Neurospora crassa OR74A: one gene and its partners. The main gene of each other region encodes a partner of the protein of the gene in region 3 in a complex. Links are inferred from orthologs where the notes say so. Each region holds a gene or a part of one and is shown on either strand. Other genes may lie near its edges.

The links.
Region 1: NCU06854 (region 3) and NCU00444 share a complex: the UniProt entries of both Saccharomyces cerevisiae proteins name them as parts of the chromatin-remodeling INO80 complex. The link is inferred for Neurospora crassa OR74A from reciprocal best matches to the Saccharomyces cerevisiae genes RVB2 and TAF14.
Region 2: NCU06854 (region 3) and arp-4 share a complex: the UniProt entries of both Saccharomyces cerevisiae proteins name them as parts of the SWR1 chromatin remodeling complex. The link is inferred for Neurospora crassa OR74A from reciprocal best matches to the Saccharomyces cerevisiae genes RVB2 and ARP4.
Region 4: NCU06854 (region 3) and NCU05587 share a complex: the UniProt entries of both Saccharomyces cerevisiae proteins name them as parts of the SWR1 chromatin remodeling complex. The link is inferred for Neurospora crassa OR74A from reciprocal best matches to the Saccharomyces cerevisiae genes RVB2 and ARP6.
Region 5: NCU06854 (region 3) and NCU06491 share a complex: the UniProt entries of both Saccharomyces cerevisiae proteins name them as parts of the SWR1 chromatin remodeling complex. The link is inferred for Neurospora crassa OR74A from reciprocal best matches to the Saccharomyces cerevisiae genes RVB2 and SWC5.

Annotation. Positions count from the first base shown.
Region 1 is NC_026503.1:3,880,313-3,884,723, reverse strand, and holds NCU00444 (transcription initiation factor TFIID subunit 14), read right to left. Parts: upstream 3,135-4,411; 5' UTR 2,304-3,134; coding exon 2,292-2,303; intron 2,110-2,291; coding exon 1,926-2,109; intron 1,835-1,925; coding exon 1,442-1,834; intron 1,370-1,441; coding exon 1,302-1,369; intron 1,229-1,301; coding exon 1,205-1,228; 3' UTR 185-1,204; downstream 1-184. Other genes in the region: NCU00443 (ran-specific GTPase-activating protein 1), read right to left, coding at 4,161-4,411. UniProt on the Saccharomyces cerevisiae protein: Functions as a component of the DNA-binding general transcription factor complex TFIID, the RNA polymerase II associated general transcription factor complex TFIIF, and the chromatin-remodeling complex SWI/SNF.
Region 2 is NC_026501.1:2,713,380-2,717,929, reverse strand, and holds the start of arp-4 (actin), read left to right. Parts: upstream 1-1,598; 5' UTR 1,599-1,767; coding exon 1,768-1,825; intron 1,826-1,906; coding exon 1,907-3,258; 3' UTR 3,259-3,716; coding exon of another isoform or gene 3,717-4,550. Other genes in the region: NCU16367 (hypothetical protein), read left to right, coding at 143-1,117; NCU02554 (golgi complex component), read right to left, coding at 3,717-4,550. UniProt on the Saccharomyces cerevisiae protein: Chromatin interaction component of the NuA4 histone acetyltransferase complex which is involved in transcriptional activation of selected genes principally by acetylation of nucleosomal histone H4 and H2A. The NuA4 complex is also involved in DNA repair.
Region 3 is NC_026502.1:1,745,909-1,750,249, forward strand, and holds NCU06854 (RuvB-like helicase 2), read right to left. Parts: upstream 2,907-4,341; 5' UTR 2,678-2,906; coding exon 2,669-2,677; intron 2,593-2,668; coding exon 2,366-2,592; intron 2,291-2,365; coding exon 1,081-2,290; 3' UTR 693-1,080; downstream 1-692. Other genes in the region: NCU06855 (hypothetical protein), read left to right, coding at 1-692; NCU06853 (hypothetical protein), read left to right, coding at 4,272-4,341. UniProt on the Saccharomyces cerevisiae protein: DNA helicase which participates in several chromatin remodeling complexes, including the SWR1 and the INO80 complexes.
Region 4 is NC_026506.1:1,416,526-1,420,947, reverse strand, and holds the start of NCU05587 (actin-like protein arp-6), read right to left. Parts: upstream 3,025-4,422; 5' UTR 2,926-3,024; coding exon 2,478-2,925; intron 2,424-2,477; coding exon 1,531-2,423; 3' UTR 1,108-1,530; exon of another isoform or gene 1,056-1,107; 3' UTR 916-1,055; coding exon of another isoform or gene 1-915. Other genes in the region: NCU05586 (malate/L-lactate dehydrogenase), read left to right, coding at 1-915; NCU05588 (topoisomerase TRF4), read left to right, coding at 3,619-4,422. UniProt on the Saccharomyces cerevisiae protein: Component of the SWR1 complex which mediates the ATP-dependent exchange of histone H2A for the H2A variant HZT1 leading to transcriptional regulation of selected genes by chromatin remodeling. Involved in chromosome stability.
Region 5 is NC_026503.1:1,608,098-1,612,211, forward strand, and holds NCU06491 (SWR1-complex protein 5), read left to right. Parts: upstream 1-1,470; 5' UTR 1,471-1,890; coding exon 1,891-2,222; intron 2,223-2,280; coding exon 2,281-2,977; 3' UTR 2,978-3,338; downstream 3,339-4,114. Other genes in the region: NCU06490 (hypothetical protein), read right to left, coding at 64-979, 1,039-1,133. UniProt on the Saccharomyces cerevisiae protein: Component of the SWR1 complex which mediates the ATP-dependent exchange of histone H2A for the H2A variant HZT1 leading to transcriptional regulation of selected genes by chromatin remodeling. Involved in chromosome stability.

The DNA of each region.
Region 1 (4,411 bases), on a different chromosome or scaffold from region 3:
CAGTACGGATCTCGCATCTGGGCAGTTGCTAGGCGACCCAGGCTGGGCCAGAGTCTCAGATCTACGATCCCGGGTGGTGCTCCAGCAACCACCACAAAAAAAAAAAAAAAAAAAAAAAAAAAAAAAAAAAAAAAACACGGGCGAACAACATGTACGCAGTACGCAGTGTCCACCCCGCACACACATTCTAGAAGCATTTTCTGTCTACAGACGACATATGTACCTAGCCATCATCTACGCATACAAAAACTTGCATTATATAACCGCCGCCGATAATATCGCCTACCGCAGTAGCTCCGGATATAAGCCAAGAGCTCATGCCTGAAAAAGATGGCTATCTGGCAGGGTGCTGGCAGATCTATAGCGCTCTAGTCCAGGCACAGGAGACACGGAGACTAAGGCGAACGGACAGTTACTGCTGCTCCATACCCTGAACTGTGTAAACTAAACCATACAGCATGTTCTCTGCTTCTAATACCGCCATACGACGAGCAACGTAGAGAGACCGTGATCGAGAACTAGGTACCGCCTACAACATAACCGCTTCTCTTTCCCTTCCGAATTCCATGGGCGTGGGATCTATTACATACCTCCTTTCTACCTCTTACCCATCCTTTCCCGAACCTTTCTTTCCAATAAACAGTCTCAAATTTCCCTATGACGATCCTACCTAGAGGGGCAAACCTTGCACATGATAAGGTTCAAGGTCCGCCCAAAGCACAAACTGATTAGCGATGCCACTCCCTTCCAGTGAAGAGCAGTCCTCACGAGCAGACACCACCAATCAAGGCAACGATCCCACCGGCAGAAAGGAAACGGTTCAACGGAACACACCCTAGACCATCGAATATCACGCAAAGAAAGAAATCTGGAAGATCAAATCAAGCACAAATTTTGTCAAGAGAAGCTCTTGAATCTTTCTCAATTTTTGCTTTTTGCGTATCCCACCATAACTCCATAAACGCCACGGTAATGCAGGAGCCGAAGAAGCCTAAGGCTACAATGGCATGATGGTGAAGGTGGTTGATGTTGATGTGGATGGAAGTGTCAAGGGATCAATAATAGTGAATAAAGAGGGTGGTGGTGTACTGGGTATGGTATGGTGCGCACTGCGATCTAGTAAGGAAGAATGTTCCCGTCCCTGATGACTTCGTAAATCGATGGCCATCGACTACTGTAGGTTACTTGGACCAAGGAAGTCGTACTATGAGACTACGTTGGCTTTGACCTGTGGTAATATTAGCGATTTAGCTACAGAAGGATCCGATTGAGGGGGCAAAAGAATGGGAAGAACAACTTACCAAGAACTCCCAGAGCATCTTCATGAGGTTGTCAGGAAGAGTGTAGAGATCCACCGAGAACTCGCCCGCTATAGACATGTCCAGTCAGCCATCAGCTCGTGTTGCCTCCAGGGGCCACACTCCCTAGCGGGCAAACTTACCATCGAGGTTGTTCTGGATGTACGTATTGTCATCCTTGTGATCGTGGATCATCTGAATGACCTGCAGGAGGTCATCCTCGCCCAGCTTCGTCAAGCCATCCGCCATACGCTCGATGTCGTAGGGCCGCTTCTTCTTGGAACCGCCGTCCACCGCCTTCTTCTGCTTGCGCTCCTCGTCCGAGGGCAAGGGACCCGTCTCTCTCAGGAGCTGCTGGAGCGCCTGAGATGGGTTACGGAAGGTGACGGTATGGATGTTTTCGTACTCTGATTGCTGGAAGTTCAGGTCGTGCGCGATCGAGATCTTGCCGCCTTTCTCGGTGGTGTACATATCGATGATCATCTCAAATTCACCCCAGCCCTCGTTGGTGCATTTGAAGGGAGGATCGTTGAAAGCTGAATTTGCGACGCGTTAGCCAACCTCTGGCTCTCGAGACACAACAGAGATGGGGAGAGGTGACCGGCGGCCGCTCCGGTGTCTACTTACTCTGGATAGGGTTCGCGAACGAAGGGTGAAGGTTGTAGGTCACCTTCGTGAAGCACCTGGCGGGCCTCTCCTTGCCATCTTGGTCGAGAATATAGAGCTCGACCGTCCACTCCTTCATGGGGTAGCCCTCCTGTGCCGCCGGCTTGTTGATATTGTGTTGTTCTGTGACAACCTTGATCTTGCGCTGTAGACAAATAAACCCACGTTAGCCGTCGAATCCATTTCCCGAACAACAGCTATCCCGGAACGTTCTCCTCCTAGGGCCTTTCCTTTCCCTGCCTCTGCACCTGTTCTGTATGCCGCTACAGTGGTCACCCTGTTTGCGCAAGCTACCAACCACACTGGACTGGGAATCCGGAAACTAACCTCGACGATCATCTTGTTTGCGCCTGGAACCCGCTTCGGATTCCTTCTAGTAGCTTTGGTTCGAGTATTCTTACTAGCACTACTGGGAACGTCCGACCGATCCTCAAGGCCCTCTGCTTCCCAGAAATTGGATGGATTCCCGCGGTTAGCTTTGTGTACTTCTCTTCACTTGCTCGTGTCCTAGTACTCGAACAGCACTCTTTTGACAATCGGCGTTCGGTCGGTGTCTCGAGTACAGGACAGTAGTAAGACAGTGGCGTTCGGGCTCTTGAGGAAGAGCAAGGATTCGAGGATGTACGACGTTGTTGTATCCGTTGGGCTGTCTGGCAATGGGCTCTATAGTGTTTGGTGTGTTGTATGTGTTGGTGTGTCGCAGATTCCGTCGCGCTGCTAGAGTTGGGCTTTGTAGCGGTAGAGAATAAGGTCGTCCGTTACGGAGGGGTAAAGGTACCGCGGCGGGCCGTGGCGTGCGGTTGGGAACCAGGGATAATGATGGGGATAACGTAGCTCTAAGGTGTATAGCGTACAAATTGGGATAGGCAAAAGTTGGATGGGAACGCGATCGTGATCGTGAAGAGGGGCTAAGGTTAAGAGCGTGTCTCCTCTCTGATGGCCTTGGGTTGAAAAATGCTCAAGGGAGTGTTCAAGCAAGGCAATGTGGGAAGGTTTTTACTGAGTTATGGTGCTGATGCGACTTGGATGGTTGGGAATTTGGGTCACTGTGCAATATATGTACACTCCGATGAAGTTGGTTCAAGCGGGACATACCTTCGTCATTCGCGAACGGAGGCGTCGCGGCGCCGCCATAGTCAAAACCGTAACCATGGCTGAAGTCGACCATTGTCCCGTCGCTAGCACTCAGTGAGGTACCGCTGTGCGTGCTGTGGCTGGTGCGCTGTGATGCAGTGAGCGTCAGCTCGCTTTGCCGGCATTCCTCTACCCCTCACCGTGGATGTAAGCAAGGTGAGCTCACCTAGGTGAACGAAGATATCACCACTCTAATCGAAATATCGCGATGATCGAGAAAGCAGAAGTCTTGGAAAGAAGTTGTCAAAGACGACGGTGATGCTGAAGTAGACCCTGAAATCTTGAAGTAAATTGCTCCAAGATGTGATTTTGCGTCGTCGGGAGAAGAGTAGTGAGAGACCGCTGGCGAAGAAGAGGATCGTCGTCAGCTCGCCGTAAGGTAGTCAAGAAGAGAAGAAACCTCCAAAACCGCAAAACAACCAGATTTTTTATACGGTCGTCGCCAGACCGCGTCACGGACGACTTGGCAAACGGAATTCAGTATTTGTGTTTCTTTCAAGACAGGCTCAGGTTTCCGTCAGCTAGCCAGTCCATCAGATTCGTCTCATGTTTTGGTGGACCATCGTGCTAAGCCGTCAGCCAGGTATGACGAGGCGAGGTTGTGTGTACAAGAACTTGATCAAAAACCCCCAAAGGCAATGCATCGGTGTGAAGGGTAGTGAGTTGTTCTATCTAAAACTGTTGGTTAAGCTAAAGGTTATTTAGATCCCTTAAGAGTAATCCCCATCCTCATCCTCCTTGCCAGCCATAGTTGCAAAAGGGCCGTCGCAGTATGTTACCAGTATATTGAAATCTCGTCAAACGCACACCTGAATAGTGCTTTCATGTCGGATACTTCAACCTTTTGTTCTCGCACACGCTGCCCATGTACCAGCTCTCTAGCCTAGGAATCATCATCGTCATAACTTCTGTAGCGGTCCTTTCATTCATTCCATCGCCCAGCCCATGGAGGTAGTAATGTCATCGTCCCCTCTAACACCTAGCAAAACGGAAAATAGAACGGGGTGGTTGAAAAACTTTCCCTAAAGCAACTTCAAATTCATGCAAAACTAGACCACACATCTACTCGGCCTTCTCGTCCTCGGAATCCTCCTCAGCCTCCTTCTTCTCGGCGGCCTCCTCGGCAGCCTTGAAGAGAGCCTCGTTGTCCTTCTGGGCCTTGATAAAGGCATCCTTGAAAGCGTTGGCGTTGTCGGAGTTGGCAAAGCGGATCGCGAGGGTGACGGCCTCGGGCTCACCCTCGGAAACATCGGCAGCGGCGTTCCACACCCAGCTGCGGTCGGAACCAACGTTGGGGGAAAGCTTCATCTCAG
Region 2 (4,550 bases), on a different chromosome or scaffold from region 3:
CTACAACCACCACACCTGAACTCCAAGGTGATGACCACATCCAACACCATACATCACATCTCCAGTTATCGTTGCGCCAGGTCTTGAACAATTCACAGAGCCTCCGCTCTGAATCATAACCCAGCAAACGAATGTCACGAGAATGCCCATAATATCGGAGGAAGAAGAGGAGGATGGCACGATGCTGTCCCACCCTTCAGAAGAAGACAACCACGATGATGGCTCGATATCCGGAGACGAGGATTCTTACGACGAGGATGACATCTCGGACGACGACGGCGACGACGAGCACCTCGCGCCCCCACCGCCCGTCTCGCAACATACCTTCGCCCCTCCCTTCTACGGTCGCCCACCGACCCCTCTCCCACCCTCCCCCTCTTTAACCTCCCTGCTGCGCCCCTCGCGTCCCACTACCCCGGACGCCTCCGACGACGAGACAGTAGCCAACGGCGGCGGTGGGGGTCCAGAGGGCAGCAACGAGCCCCTCCCGCGCGCCAGCCCCCGCGTACCCACGTACGAGTACTACGGCTTCGTCCTCTACCTCTTCAGCAGCCTGTCGTTTTTGATCTACCTACTGTGGGCCTACCTGCCTTCACCGTTCCTGCATGCGTTGGGCATCTACTACTACCCCAACCGGTGGTGGTCGCTGGCCATTCCGAGTTTCCTGACAATGACGCTGGTGTACATCTACGTGGCGCTGGCGGCTTACAATACCGAGTACCTCACACTGCCGTTGGGATCGATTGAGACGATTGTGGATGAGGCGGCGCAGGTGGCGGTGGTGGATGGGAAGGGCCAAATCATTAGGCATGATAAGAAATGTGGCATCAAGGAGGAGAAGAGACAGTATGGGCATGGCTATGGACATGGGAGGCATGGGTCGACGGATAGGGAGGTGCTCTTACCTGGGGGAGGATTGAATTGGAGGGAGGTCTGGAATGAAGGGACGGATGCGGTGATGGATGTGCCACTGGCGGGAGTTTGTGAGGTTTTGTATGGAGAGGGGAGGGAGAAAGGGGTGGAGAGTGAGGAGGATGAGGAGGACTATGAAGGAAAGGGGATGTTGCATAGTCCTGGGAATGGACTGGATGGCTCGAGAGTTGGTCGATGGAGTTAACACAGGTTATGAAGGTCCTGAGACAGGATAGACACCTGATCTCTGCTGTATTGTTGTTTTGTCCATTGTGAAATATGATACCCATTTGTTCTTTTTGGGGGTGGCATAATGCTCTGGGTGAATCCGTTGTCGGTATCGTATACAGCTGAGAGTTCTACTTCCCATGGATGTCGTAACTTTGACTTCTAGGACTTCTAGCGAGTTCGTGGGCTCTGGATCAGCAACGACAGGCCAGCGACAATCTTTGAGGAGTTTAACCAAAGCTAACTGCTCATGTGCGTCTTACTTCTCTTCAAGCTTAAAAGACCTATCAACAAGTTAACAGAGCTCTTGACAGGTTCGTTGGATTGCTATTTCCATTTTCTGTCCCTGATGCCCTATTACCGTAGAGGTACGTACCGCGCCCCACTTTTATGTAGCTGGAGGAGAGCCTGTCCGGCCTTTTACTGGTATTCACGCGCGCGCGCCCCTCGTCTTTGAAGCTCCGTTGTCAAATTCCATTTGATTTCCAGTTCATCGAACTTCAACGGAACGCGACGGGACCGAGCTATTAGACGCGCAGCGCTGTTTGGAGATCCCCGCTCACACCACTTCTTGCCCTCCGATAATACACCTCAGCGATTTTCCATTATACAGCGTCGGTGCCTAACATGTCCCACCAACAACCTCTCTCGTCGTCGGTCCAGCCGACTGACATCTATGGCGGAGGTAAGCCTAGTCCAAACGCCTCTGACCAGCGACATTGCCCAAGCTTCAAGGCTTGCAATTGACGGCTGATTATTTCCTTAGATGAGGTATCCGCGCTTGTTCTCGATCCGGGCTACTGCAACACTCGCGCCGGCTATGCTGGCGAGGAAATGCCCAAGCAAGTTCTCCCTTCTTTTTACGGCCACATCAATGGGCGTGACGTATTCGGCGACGAGTATATCGTGCCAAAACCGGGCTTCGAAGTGCGCAACTACATGAACCGCGACAGCGTTGTCGAAGATTGGGATGCTGCCACCAGGATGTGGGAACATGTTCTCGTCAAGCGTTTGCAGCCCGAGCGATCAACACCTCCCAGCAAAAAGGGTATCAACATTAGTGACGATGGCGATGTGCCCATGGAAGACGATGGAAACAACAACGAGGATGCTACGGACGCGCTGGAGAAGCCACTGGCCGAGAACCCTCTTCTTATGACCGAAGCGCCGTGGAACTCGCCCAAGGCGCGCGAGAAGGCCATCGAAATCAGCATGGAGACTTGGGGCGTGCCCGCATTCTGGCTTAGCAAGACACCTGTGCTCGCAGCATTTGCGGCCGGAAAGGCCACGGCTCTGGTAATAGACGTGGGCGGTGCCAACACGAGTGTCACGGCCATCCACGACGGCATGGTCCTCAAGCGATCGATTCAAAGGTCTCCGGTGGGCGGTGTTTGGCTGAGCAGCCAGATCTGCAAGATGTGGGACGGTAGTGAGCCCAAGGTCGACGTTGTGCCGCGGTTCATGGTCGAGAGTAAGAAGCCCGTGGAGGCCGGTGCGCCTGCCGAAGCCAACCTGCGAAAGTTTAACTTCGACATCCACCCGTCCTTCCGCGCTTACGAGGAAGAGCGTGTTCTCACCGAGTTCAAGGAGTCTGTTGTCGAGGTGTGGCGTGGTCCCCAGCGGTTCACGACCCCCGGAAACGAAGATGCTGTCCGTACACAACCCGGCCGGGTCTTCGAGATGCCCGACGGCAGCAATCAGATGTGGCGTGAGCAGCGCTTCAAGGTGTCGGAGGGCATGTGGGACGAGACGGCTGCCTATAACAGCACTGACGAGGAAGGACGTGTTACTAAGGCTCAGACGATCCCGGCTCTCATCAAGGCGGCCCTCGAGGGTGTTGATGTTGATCTCCGCCCCAACATCCTCGGCAACGTTGTTGTCACGGGTAGTACAAGCTTGTTGAACGGTTTCAACGACCGTCTCAACCACGAGCTCGCGCAAATGTACCCCGGTGTGAAGATCAAGATCCATGCGGCGGGTTTGACGACCGAGAGACGCTTCGGTGCTTGGATCGGAGGAAGCATTCTCGCCAGTCTCGGAACCTTCCACCAAATGTGGATTTCGCGAAAGGAATATGATGAGAACGGCGCGGGCATTGTCGAGAAGCGCTGCAAGTAGGATTTCACTTTGTCAATTGCAGAAAAAGAAAGTTGTCGAGGCATGAAGTGGAAAACCCTCCCACGCCGCGCTATGGAAATGGCGGGAGGCTACAAAACATCGGATTCCAAGTCAGGCCACAATGGTTGATGCCTAAAGTGCTCACACATTCATGGAGTTTGTGTGGGGTGGAGTGTGGTGGTCATATAAGATGGGCATGATATTTTCTACGTCGCTAATTATCAGGCAGGTGTATGTTATGGTCGCACGATATGGCGCGGAGGCGTTCCGGAGAAATGGATTTTCAATGCTTTCAGCTTATGAAAGATACACGCCAACCATTGCCTGTATTGCCAGTTTTGACTTTAATCACGGCTAGATCCCAGAGCTTCAACTGTCTCCAAGTAGTTCATTCACCGTAAAGCTTCTACGTACAAAGTGTAATTTCTTCTAGACAATCCATAATCCTCTCATCAGTCCTACCTGTCAATGGGGCAGCTATACTCTCTCTTCGTTCCAAAACTAGCTCCTTTGGAAACCGCGCCCCCATGTTTCATCTCAAGAGCGTCCAGGCATGCTTGATGGTAGATGTGTCTGCAGGCCAGCACAACCAGAGGGCTAAGCTTCTGTTCCCGGTTTGCCACTATTGGCCCTTGCACGCCTTCATGTCCAGAAGTGTTTGCTTGCTGGTTCGGGTCGTTCATTGACTCCCCTTGCTGCTTCAATTGCGGGCTCACAGCCTTTCCCTTGCCCTTCCCCTTTCCATCTCCATTTGCATTTCCATTATACTTCTCCCCACCCTGGGGCCCGTCCGTTGCCGGCCACGCATGATCCTTGCCCTTCCCCCGTTCAGTAGTAGCACTCGCCGCCTTGTTTTTGCTCATGGTGAGTTGCTTCCTCGCCTGGCGTTGACTCTCCTCAGCAGCCTGGCGATCTTCCCACGCTTCGTAGACATTACCCGCCACACCAGGACCCCAAACTCGCCGGCCGCAGGCCTCGCAGGTGGAGCCTTTAGGACGCCAACCTCGCTGGCGGAGTTGGACGGCTTGGCTTACACTCACAAAAAGACTGCGTTCCAAAAGCCGGTTTGAGAGGCTAAGGATGGATTCTTCGTATGCGTATGCGGCGAAGATACTGGAGAGAACTGAACGGAGATCTGCAAGGTTAGGCGACGACGCCGCGGCGCGAGTGAGGAACGCACGAAGAATACGGAGGAAGGATAGATTGGCGTTTATTGCTGGAGGTTGTATATCACCCGTGTCTGCTGCAGATCGAGAGGTACGGGTTGATGTGGATGAGAGGAGGGCTGTAAA
Region 3 (4,341 bases):
ATGCCGTGCACGATAAGTGGCTGGAAGGCTTGTCCAAAAAGGAAATCAAAAAAGCGGCGTTGGCGCACGAGAAGCGCGAGGCGGAAAGGCGCGCGCAGGAGAGGGAAGATGACAAGATCGCCACTGGGGACTTGCTTAGAAACTTGATCCTGACGCTCGAAAAAGGGGAGACGGCGCTGGAGGCGCTGGCAAGACTTGGAAAAGATCAAACCAAGGGGCCCAAGAAGGTGCCCAAGTGGAAGCAAAAGAGGCAGGAAAGGAAACAGGGCATCGATTCGATGGACGTGGATGACAAGAAGGAGGAAGTGGAGGATCCGAAGCAGAAAAAGATCAGGGAGGCGATTGATGCCATTACTGAGGCGGCGGATAAGTTGTTGGGAAGGGATTATCCGGATATTTACGATAAGGAGAGGGAGTGGTTGGTGAGAGAGTATAGAGCAGAGACGGGCGAGACCTGGGTGGAGCCTACTGTTCCTGAAAAGGAGGAAGAGCAGCCATCGTCACTAAACGGACAACCCAAAATGTGGGAGTTTAGGTGGACAGATGGGAGAGACGGAGGAGGAAGCCAAGGGCCGTATGACGGGCCCACCATGAAGGCATGGCAGGATGCGGGATACTTCAAGGAGGCGGTTGAGTTCAGGCCGGTGGGCGGAGGGGAGGGGGAGTGGTCTAGGGTTGCAGCCTTCGTATGATCATCATGGTTAGGTTTTGTACGATTGTGTGTGATAGTATACCCCCGGTTCCAAGCGACGAGAGAATCAAAAGCCTTATCACCATGCTGGGAACTCCTCAGCAGCTGGTCGTCATTCGTCCCTACTATGCCCTTTCCTGCTACCCCACGCTTCGACTTTGATTCGATTCGTTGTATGATACAAACGGATATTTGCAGACTCCATGCCATCACCATAATCAGTAACATGACAAAAAACCACGACTAGGCACACATAAAGCTTAAGAAAACAGTGTTATCATAACAAAGACGCCTTTTTGATGAGCCATCCCAATTAAACGCCTAGACGAAACAAAATCATAACCCCAAGATTATTCATTAATCCTTGTAGCGCATTGTCCCATGACTGTTTAGCTGCTGGTATCCATGCTATCACCACCAGCCGCAGTAGCCGCTGGCTCTCCCGTAGCACCGCCATTGACACGGAAATCGACCACGCCATCACTGCCGATGAGCCTCTTCTCCGATTCCTGCACGAACTTGACGCTCCTGGCAGGATCGTAGAACAGCTTGAAGCTGCGCTGGACGTCCTCAACGCCGACCTGCTTGGCCTTCCTCTTGGCGCAGATTAGCTGCGACGTCGTGATGAGGTTGCTCGCATACCGGAGGCCGGCCTCGGCGCCGATCTTGGTGAGCAGGGCGAGCGCGTCGGGGGTAAGGTCGACTTCCTCCTCCTGAGCGCGAATCGTGAGAATCTGTCTGAGCTCGTCGGGCGTGTACGAGTGCGTGTTGATGATGGAAATGCGGTCGAGGAAGTCGAGCGGCAGGCCGTGGGGGCTCTTGTAGTCGGTGCCGCGGATCTTGGAGTGGCCCCGGTTGCTGGCCATGATGACGATGGGGGCCAGGTCGGACTCGAGTGCGCGGTTGATGTACGAGAAGCACTCGATGTCGAGCATGTGCACCTCGTCGATGAACAGAACACCGGGCACAATCTCGGCCTTGCCTTCTTCCTTCCACTCGGCCACCTTGGTGTTGATCTGGTCGCGGATCTCGCTGCGGATCTCGCCCGTGTCGCCCGAGAAGAGGGCGAGGAAGCCTTGGGTCCTCGAGTTGATGACGTCGATCTCGTGCAGCGTTACTGTGTGGACGACCTCCTTGCGCTTCTGTAGCTCGCCATCGGGGCATTGCAGGAACTTGGTGTCGACGCCCATGGCATCGTAGTCGCGCGACCTTGCGTACGATCGGCCCAGCTTGGTAATCTTTCCAGATGACTTGTCTATCGAGATAATGTCGCCGGCCATGACGCGCTCCTTGGTCATAGCATCGATCATCTTGCTGCCCATGTCGTAAATAGCTTCCATGTCGGTCGTCTTGATCGTAAGCTTGCCCTGCTTGGCGTGGCCGGTAACGCTCCGGTCGATCTGAATCTCCACCACCTCACCCTCCATGATCTCACTCTCTTCCTTGATCCTGACACCAATCGACTTGCGGAATGCTTGGGTGAGGGCCTCGGTCTTGGACATCTCTAGAGAGTAGATTTCGGAAGCGGCAAGGGTGGTGAAAGGGACGTCGGTGCCGAGGGACTGGGCCATACCCATGGCCAGAGCAGTCTTTCCCGTACTGTTGTTTTTCCATAGCTAGGTCAGTACACGAAACGGTATGCGCATGAGGACTGGCACAGCAAGACGAGCTAACCTGGGCGGACCGGCGATCAGCACAGCACGGCCGGCAATTTTCCCTTGCTTAATCATCTCAAGAACGACAGCAGCCGCCTTACGCGCCTTCTCCTGGCCGACAAGGCCTTGGGAGGCAACCCTGGGCTCGAGTGTATCGGCATCGACGCCCAACCCGCGGATGTGCGAGTGCGCTGCGATGAGGTTGAGACCCCGGAGGTCCTTACTCTCTCCGACGGTAACGACCTGCTATGGCATGGGCACAAGAGGTCAGCTGGTGTTCCGTCAAGGTATTGTGATGTTGGGGGGTAGGTGGGGAGCTTACAGCAGCCATATTGCCCACTGATTTGCAAGATATTAATATTGAATATGCCGATTGACGTTACAGAATTTTCCAAGAAAGGTCGCTTGGATTTGGGTATCACGGTGGGTGGGTGGTGATGGATTAGTTTGCAGGTGGATGCAGGGATGGTTTGGCAGTGAATGATGGAATGTGCTTGAAAAAGAGCGAGAAGTACGACGACGGAAGTTCAAAGCTGCAGTGCGCGTCGCCGCGCGCTGTGATGGAACTTTGCAGCGACTTCTCCAATTGCGTGCATGGGTAGACAGGCCGGGGCCTCCAGCGAGTGGTTTGTTACCGAGTTTACGTAACAATACGTCGACTTACACGCCACTGTGGCTGAGGATCCAAACGGTGACAGAGAAGGGCGGAGACTTGAAGGAACTGAAGACAGTCCTCGGACTTGTGCCGGCGGGTGGGACTGAACCTTCCCGGGCGCGGCCCTGGGGGTCCCACAAGGCCCCGGATTTTAGACCCACATCGGAATTCGATTGATTGAGCTGATCATCACAACACAAAGCCTCTTTGTCCAGCAGTCAATTTGGAAAGAGAACTAAGCAAGTCGGACGACCTGTTTATATACAGATGGAAGTTCTTTGAAAAGGCAACAGTGTTGGCAGGGGTTCGTGACTCGGATGCAAAAGGGAAGAAGATGCAAACATGCAAAATAAACATGGACGCAAGTAAGTAGTGTAGGTAGGTACGCTACTCACTGGGACCTGAAGCTAGAAGCGGCCCTCAGGGGATTCTTGGGTCAGGAGACTATATGTGAGGCATGCTGTCATCCTCCTCAACCCAGGCTAAGTGTAGAGGGACATAGGGTACCAATGCAGTGGATGTTTGATTGGAGCGAGAATGAAAGAGCTGAAGGAAATAGTAATACAACTTGAAGATATCAATAAGATAAATGTGACGTTCGGCCAGTCATACCTACATACTATGACTGGCCATTGAAGGGACAGAATGACAAGGGTCCGTAGCGCCTTCCTTGAGTGTACAGGAGAAGTTTTGTGACCTGGGAGTGGAAGAGCTGCAAATCTGCAACTCTGCTACCTTGGGCTCATTCATAGTAGTTCCCCAGAAATATTTAAACCAATTTCCCCACCCAAATGGCAGACACTTTCCTCTTTTTTTTTTTCCCCTCTCTCTTCTCCCTAGGACATCTTCGACGATTGTAAACCTGGCGTTCCGGAATGCATTCAGAACTATTAGTTCGACTGTCCATTTAGACAAGGAACAGAAAAATACATCAGCTTGTTGTATCTTTGTGCGGCAAGCCCTAGTCTGATCTCATTCCCGTCTGGAGGAGGTGCGGGGCCTCTTAAAACTTTGACTCTATCTACGCGTCTACCCGCATCGGTATCGCATTACAATCTTCAACCTACAATATTGAACATCGACACACATTTCAGGCTCAATTCCGACATTGACTGACGTCGGTCTGTACCGCTGGCACAGGTCAGCCCCACCATTGTCACAATTACACTCTCGTCTTATACCTCGCCACATATTGTCTGTTAGGCGCACGCTTGATTGCAGCGTCTCGTCTCACTGCACACCCCCATCCGTCCGCCTGGTGTCACGCACCATGTCTTCCAGGCCGCCGGACTCGTACCCGAGGCGGCCTTCCACTCTAAGCGACCGCCGACCATCGGCAG
Region 4 (4,422 bases), on a different chromosome or scaffold from region 3:
CGATTGCCATCCTACCTCTCACGCGTGCGTAGCGGGGTTTTGGACCCAGCCGCCGAGCCGGAACTAAAGCAGATCACGCCCGTAGTCGCCCAAATAGACGCGAGGAACGGATTCGGCTTCCCCGCCGCGCACCTGGGCATGGACACCGCCATCAAAATGGCGGGCGTCTATGGCATTGGAATGGTAAGCGTCAAGCATAGCAATCATTTTGGCATGTCCGCTTGGATTGTGAAGCAAGCGGTGGATGCGGACATGATGAGTCTGGTTTTTACCAATTCGTCGCCTGCGCTGCCCGTGTGGGGTTCCAAGGAGAAGATGATGGGTGTAAGCCCCATCGCCTGTGGAGCGCCGGGTGGGAAGGGCGAGGGGTCGAAGCCGTTCATCTTGGACATGGCCCCGTCGGTCGCAGCGAGGGGCAAGATCTATAAGGCGCTGAGGAGGGGAGAGAAGATACCGACTGACTGGGCTTTGGATGGGGAGGGCAAGCAAACTGATGATCCGGCCAAGGCGCTGGAAGGCGTGATGCTGCCTATGGGTGGGCCAAAGGGGTCGGCGCTGGCGATCATGATGGATGTCTTCTCCGGCGTGCTTTCGGGTTCTGCGTTTGCTGGAGGCGTCACGGGGCCGTATGATATGTCCAAGCCGGGGGACGTTGGCCACTTCTTCGTGGCCATCAAGCCTGACTTGTTCATGAGCCTGGACGAGTTCAGGGAACGCATGGATATCCTATACCAGAAAGCGGTGAACTCGGAGAAGATGCATGGCGTCGACAGAATTTACTTCCCGGGCGAGATTGAGCAGCTGAACGAGGAGCAGAGATTGAAAGATGGCATACCATATGCCAAGGCAGAGATTGATGCTCTGAATGCAGAGGCTGAAAAGCTAGGCTTGGGCAAGATCCGATTGATAGAGTAGAGCTTCATATATATTGGGTTATTTGCACCTTTGGAGGTGAAATGGGCCAAATTCTTCGTCTGAGCCAAGTTTGTTTAAAATAAAGAAGCTGCAGGCGATCACAACAAACCACTGATGAGGACGATGGTGTGATTTGGTCTCTTTCCGAGGGTTAGCGTTGATCCTTTTTTCAAACCATTTTGAAAACTTTACCAAAGGCAGCATCATGGGTATCACAAGGGTGGCAAGTAGCTCGCCCTCAGAAACTCTGATACCTGCTTTTCCGTGTAGAGCTGTAGGTAGCTGAGATCAGTTGCGCGGTTTTGCCCCAGTGCATCTCAATCAAGATCAACACCCAGTCTATACACCCAGCCCATCGAGACAGAGTCTTGGTGTTCTGGCATGGCACGGCAGGGTTTCGGATTGAACGGCGCTTTTCAGACAGAGTGTATGGCACTCAACGTCCAGAGACAGGCAAGAAGCAAAGCGTACTAGCCCACCCTGCTCATTTTTGTCTGGGTAGTATCCAGCCGGGCACTCAATCAAGCAGCATAGGGAGCCGCTTGGCAATCGCTTTATGGGCTAATGAACCCTGGAAAGCTTCAAAAATGGCAATAATAGACTCCAAGCAAATGCTCAGGGGTCGAGTCCGAGCCCAGCAGCAAATTTTCTTGCCACCCAAGCAGCTCCATGTTCCTCATACTCTTGCTTGGTGACCTCGAGCTTACTGGCATGTTCATGCTTGGCGAAATTGGCAGCTCCCAACCAGGTGCTGATGATAGGGTCTTCCGGGCGGGCAACTCTGACCCTGCATTCATCGGGGAATCGCTTGAGAATCTCTGTTTGCAAGCGCTGACAGAACCCTTCAGAGAGACTGTTTCCTCCCACAACTACGATATTAGCCAGAAGGCCAGGCCACAGTCCAATTGGCACAGCCAAGAGGGACTGCTTGACTAGGTCGGCGATGCCAGGTTGCCGGATGCCGATATCAGAAGGGTTGAAGAGGAGCTCTGGAACAACAAAACGCTCGTTCCGTAGCGTCAGGACGTCCTCTGTGGATACAATGCCCTTGCGGGCGCGCGCCGAGACACCAGGCTCGTAGTCGCGGACAACACCGTGGAAGCGCGTGTGGGAGTCGGGCAGAACGTAGTCTTTGGCGATGCCAGCACCGCTCAAGTAGTCCTCCCTCTTTTCGCCGCGCGTCCCTTTCCAAGTCTTTTCCAGGTCTCCCTTGAAGTCCAGGGAGGTGTAACAGACTGCTTCTTTCATCTCGTTCACAATGTATGGTTCGTTGCGCATGTCGAAGTGGCGGACGGACAGTAACCTGGTGAGATAATTGGTCATGAGCTTGCCACCCACATCAAGTCTTCGTATGGCCGGATGTAGCGGTCGGCCTTGGAGGATAGGCGTAACGGTGGTGTGAGAGTAACCCGAGTCGATGAGCAGGATGACTTGGGCTGGACTGTCTATGGTGGATTGGGGTGTTCGGAAGATGGATTGTATGTCCCGGTACGCGTTGAAGACAGGACCTAGAAAACAAGGTCAGCACCCTTTCCCTAACAGCTCTCTAGGAGGCGACATACCCAGGCCACGGTAGTAACTCGCAAAGCCATACTCCTCAAAGACGATCTGGTCACAGTGTGTTTGGAGAGAAGGCAATGAATTTGGTTGCTCTGTGAGAATGAGCCTGGTGTCTGATGGGTCGCATTTCTGCGCAGCTTTATCGTCGAAGAACTCGCGATCCCAGATCTCTTTCTGGGCCTCCCAGTTGACGATAAAGCCCTTTTCGACGGGGCGCCTGAAGGCCAATTCGCTGAAGTCCTTGCATTTTTCGAGTTCCGAGCCGACATAGATCTTCCTGTGACGGTCTCGAGCGAGGCAATTCGGAATGATGCGAGGCTTGCCGTCGCTCTTGTCATCGGAGACGAATCCAGCCTTGATGGTGTCGGCGCCGTTGTCGAGAACCAGGGTTGTCGTGGGGGGTGCCGGCCCTGCCGCCCGGGACTTTTTAGCCCCTCCTCGTCCGGTCATGACAGTACTGAAACAACAGCTGCTGACAATTGAATCCCTCTCGCGCCCCGGCCCTCGTAGCTTGAAGTGCGTGGGAGAGTCGCGTCGCGGTTGTTGTCGCAAGAACCGTCAATTGTTTGGGTTTCCACTTGCATCGACGACGGGACCTGCTGATAAGGGGAACGATAAGGGTTGTCAGTGCCACCCGGACCTCGACGGGCTGGGGTTCTCTTGCTTGGCATTTCATCATTTCCGCCGCCGCAAGTGTACACTAAAGACTCGCTGACCTGACAGCGCCGGAGAGTGAGAACGGAACCTGCCGGCGCCTGCCACTGCGGCAGCGGGCACAACACACCGGAGACACACACACACAGCGCAGCCTAGGGCCTTGTGGAAATCTCGACTGGGACCGGGCAGCCCTGCCTTCCGTCATCCATCACTTCACTTCCACTGTTGAGAGCACACTCCCGCTCCCGTCACGGCAACTGAACTCTGCAACCCGACCACTACAAATCCCATCAATGTTGCCCCACTCAACTTTTACCTCTGACTTTTAAAAAAAAATTAAATGACAAGGTGAACATTTCCACCTCTCAGCGTATTTTGCCCCCCTTGTGGAATCAACCTCATCCTCTTGTGCTCCGATACCGAGCACTCACTCGATGCGCTTTATCGTGGTCAGTATCGCATAAACCCATAACTGCTAGTTTTAGCATGTCACAACGATACCAGAACGGCGGTGGCGGCGGCGGCGGTCGACGTCGTGGTAACGACCCTCGGGACGACCGCAATGGCTATCAACAACGCGCGCCGAATGGCCCTCATGGTCTCCCTGCCCGACCTCCCCAGCCGACATCGTACCGTCCCTCCGACAACTACTCCAACCGCAACAACGGTGGCGGTGGCGGTGGAAGAGATCGCGACAATTACCGGCCTCCTCAGGGTGATTTCTCGTTTAGAGTAGAGAAGCCGCCGGGAGTCAGCAATTCGAGCTACGACAACTACCGTCCCAACGACAACAGGCAGTCCTACAATGGCCGCAGAGCCCACTCTCCCAGAGGCGATCGTCGCCACGGAAGACCCAGTGGCCGTGGACGAGGCCGCAACGCTGGCCCCCACGGAGGTTTTAGGAAACCGTGGCGTCCTTTTGTTGCGGCTGAGCGCGAGCTATTGAGCGGTACCCATGAGTCTGGAAATGAAGAGGCCCTCTACAATCCCGAGACGGGCGTGCTCTACCGGAATGTCGACGAACTGTCCGACAGTGATGAGGCCGAGATGGACATCTCTGGAGATGAGGCTGCTGAAGATGCCGAGCCGTCGACCAAGCGTGCTCGCACTGCGCTTGATCAGTCGACCAGCGCCAACAACACCCCCAAGTGGTCCAACCCCGACCCCTACACTGCACTCCCTCCCGAGGGTGCTCGGGAGCGCAAGACCAAGGATGTTGTGCAGATGATCAGAAAGGCTCGTGTGCAAACCGCTGCCGAAACAAAGACCGCGCTCCCCAACGACCTGGAC
Region 5 (4,114 bases), on a different chromosome or scaffold from region 3:
TTGACTTTGACATAAGCTGTCCTACTAGAAAATCGTACAATAACGCACAACGTCCGCAAAATATCATGCCGCCGCCTGTACACCCTGTGATGCTCCCGGGCCGGCCGCCTTCTTCAAAGCCTCCAACCTCGCCAGCTCCTCCTGCTTCATCCTCTCCTGGATCCTGACTCTCTCCGGGACAATCTGTTCTCTTGGCCTGGTAATCTTCCAGCCTTCCAGGCGGTCTTTTCCAAGAGCCCGCAACGTCACCTGCTCGACGAGTGAATAGTTGCCGTCCTCCCTATCAAAGTTGAACGGCTGCTTCAGCGCTACTGGCGGGTTGGTAATGATGCGGACGTTCCTCTTCGCGTTGCTGGAGGCCGAGTGCAGCATCAGCGGATGAAGTAAGTACACGTCTCCGACCTTGCCTGTTGCCTCGACAAACTGGGTGCAACCCTTGGCCGTGTTGTTGAACCAGTTGAGATGCTGCTCTTGCTTGAACTCGGCATCGCTGCGGGGTGCCATACGTGGCGAGACACCCTCGGGATGCTCGTACAGGTGTTTGGCGAGGATAGGGATTGCCTCCGGACAGATCATGGTCCCGCCGCCCTCGGGCATGATATCGGTGAAGAGAGGAATGACGAGCAGGCCCTGCTCCGGGCTGTCAAGGTAGTGGACGAAGAAGTCACCATCGACGTGCCAATTGTCCAGCTTTTGCGGGGGGACTGGTTTCCCTTCTTTCTGTGGTGTGCCCAGGTTGACGATAAGGGAGTCCTTCCACTTCTTCGACCAGTTCGCGATCTTATCCTCGCCGCCGCAAAGCTCGCTGATGGCTGCCCAGGCACGAGGGGCAAAGTCTGCAGCGTCGAACTCCATATGTGAGGGCATGTTGACACGTTCTTTGTTCCAGGTGGACTTGTCGTTTGGATCCATTCCTAGTCTCGTCCAAACATTGGCGATGATTTCCTGTGCTCTCTGCTGCGTGAAGGCAGCCGGGATCCTGGCATGGTCAGTACCTCGAACGAGGTTGAACAGCTGGTATGGTGGCATGACACCTACTTGACCCAGCCATGAGTGAGGAAGTGTTCCTTCTCTTCAAGACTCAGAGCAGATGACGACGACATGTTCAGTGTGATGTTGCCTTTGGGACACATCCTGTAGAAAGTAGCGTAAAGAACAAGGCTATAGACTGGAACGGGGCCGACAAGCTATCTCTACCCTTATATACTCTTTTCAAGATCCCGCCAGAAACTAACCCAGGCTAATCAATCCGACTGTCACGACAACTCCGGACTCCGAATGGAATGCCGCCTCACACTGCGCCACGAGGCAGCTAGGTAATCCATCCTTGCTCCGTAGGCGCCCTAGGCTACGTGTAACCGGCGGGGTGGTTTTTGGTTTAACCAGAAATACCCTATTGGATATCGCCAGGTTTATTGGAGAGTACGGCATCACCAGTTTTCCATTTTCGTGATAGCGGCCTTTCTGAACCTGAACATCATGTCCCAGTGGTGTGGTTGACAACATCCCGTCGTCAGGGGCAGATCCAGCTTGTCATCGGATGATAGTAACGGAACTCTAAAAAGGTTCCCGGTTGCGGGGCGTTTTCAGCGGGACATCAAGGAAGGTGTGGGCGTGATGCGGGGGAGCTTGAGCCGAACAGCGGCGACATGACGGCAAGCTGCCCTATTGGCTGCTAACAGAGCGTTTGTGTTTCCACTGTCACGCTGCAGTCGATCGGACAAAGACATGGATCCCGTCCTTGTTCCCTTCATCACTTTTCCACTTTAATATTCCGGCCCACGATACTTGGAAGAGGTACCATTCTTGGAACGACGACACACACGGCAACGAGAATTTTACGCGAATAGCTTGAGGAAGACCAGACTGTTATATTCGCGAGATACCAAGATGGCGCCAACACTAGAGCTTCTTGCAGAAGACTACGCGTCAGAGGAAGACTCCGACTTCGCCCCAGAAACTGCCGAAGCCGCGGGAGAATCATCAATATCCGACGATGACGACGAAGAAGCCGGTGAAGATGCCGAGAAAGCGAAACCCGAGAAGAGGAAACGCGCTGCCATCGAGGAGGCGGAAGACGCTGGTTATGACAATTCTGGAGATGAAGCTATAATAAAGAAGGGGGAGAAACGTCAAAAGAAAACAAAGACAAAACTTGCTGCCGACGATGAGGAAACTGGCGAGGGCGGTCTCATCAAGACGCGCAGCCAACGCGCTGTTGAGTATGTTCTCACATCAACCCTCTTCTCTTTGGGTCCTGGGCATTAACGACAATGGCAGAAAGGAGAAACGTTCAACAGCCGCCGCCAGCGGACCTGTTACAATCGACGTCGATGCCCTTTGGGCGCAAATGATCAGCGAGCCGGTCATACCACGAACAAGTACAGCGAAACCAGACGAAAGCGCCGATCCAGCGAACTGTGACATCGCGAAATCGTCATCCCAGCAGCCAGAAACAGCCAAGGCGAAAGATCCCGATTCCGACCTCATAAAGATCAAGAGAACCTACAACTTCGCCGGCAAAGTCCACACTGAAGAAAAGCTCGTTGCCCGCGATTCTGCCGAAGCAAAACTCTATCTCGCCTCTCTCGGAGAGAACGCTCCAGCGGACGGCGAAACAGCCGCCGAGGACGAGTCCTCCTCTGCCAAGCGCATGCCCCGAAAAGCTTTCCGGTCCGTCTTCGAGCCCATCACCGACGCCAACTCGGCGCATCGTTCCGACCTCAACCTGAGCATGGCCTCCCGCCTGCAGGCTCGCGAAGCCACGGGCAACAAGGCCAAGAAGCTCAACACGGTCGAGAAGAGCAAGATGGACTGGGCGGTGGCGGTCGACAAGATGGGCCTCAAAGACGAGCTCGAGCTGGCCGGCAAGTCCAAGGACTCGTTTGCGGCGAGGCAGGATTTCTTGGCCAGGAGCGAGATGCGCAGGGAGGAGGAGGCGAGGAGGGCGAGGATGGCGCAGGCGGGGAAGACGTGAGCGTGTCACGATCTCCAGTCAATCCATTGGTCGCTTGCCTATTATTGTTGTATGGATGGCGTCTCCCTTACCACTACAAGTTTGGAAGGACAGCACTATGCAACACCATTTCATTTCTTACGTTCGCCAAATAGAGATACCCCAGTTTTCAATATCGGAACTTTCCAACGCGTTGAAGACACCAAGCAAAACACGACTTGCATGAACTCAGGGTCACAGTCACATATCAATTCCTTGCAATTCCTGGTCACATTGCAAAGGAACATGCATTTCTCATCCAGAAATCATTTGGCAAGTTGTACCCATGCACCACGCTGTCTGACTCATGATCCCAACTTCTCAATGCAGTTATCATCAACCAATCATCAACTGGCGTGGTGGCGGAGTGGTCTAACGCGCAAGACTAGAAATCTTGTTCCTTCGGGAGCGTCTGTTCGAATCAGGCCCACGTCGAAGTGATTTTTTTTTCCAATTTCTTTTTTTTTTTTTGGACGATTTTATTGTTGAATGGCTCCATAACACCAGTCTGGGGTACCTAGCCACTGGCAGTGGATGCCGACGACAACGCTTTTTGGTCCTTTGTTCACAATGATTTCCCAATGTATCTTGGGAGCTTATTCGATTATTTGGGGGGTTGGTTTCCGCTGATTCAGTACTAGATCAACGACCTCTCCTCCAAGTTGAGAATGTCTAGAAACTCAACAACGGAAGATTATCTACGTCTGACTTCCTGTCTTCAACAGGTAGTTCAACCATCCAAGGTTGTTGGGTACCTCTACCTATGTACACACGCCTTAAAAGCCCTTTTGAGATCTGAAAATAACCTTGAAGGTAGACTTGCTTGAGAGGTTCTACCTTACCCCCCTTCTTACCGACCAGTAGTCGAAGCTGATGCTAATAAGAAGGGGAAAAAAAGGTAACTGAAGGATGGTAAAAGGTGGTAGCGGTGACTATCTACTTGGAGTAGGATTCAGGAGAGCGTCACTTAACTTCGAGTCACATCCTCCGGATGCGATAGCGATACCTGGCGATGGTGAGGATGGATGGGTGAATGGGCAATTTGGGGTGGAGATTTTTTTTACAGGGCCGGGGAAGTGAGGGAGGTCAGCATGATGGTTGTGACGATGATCTATTGCA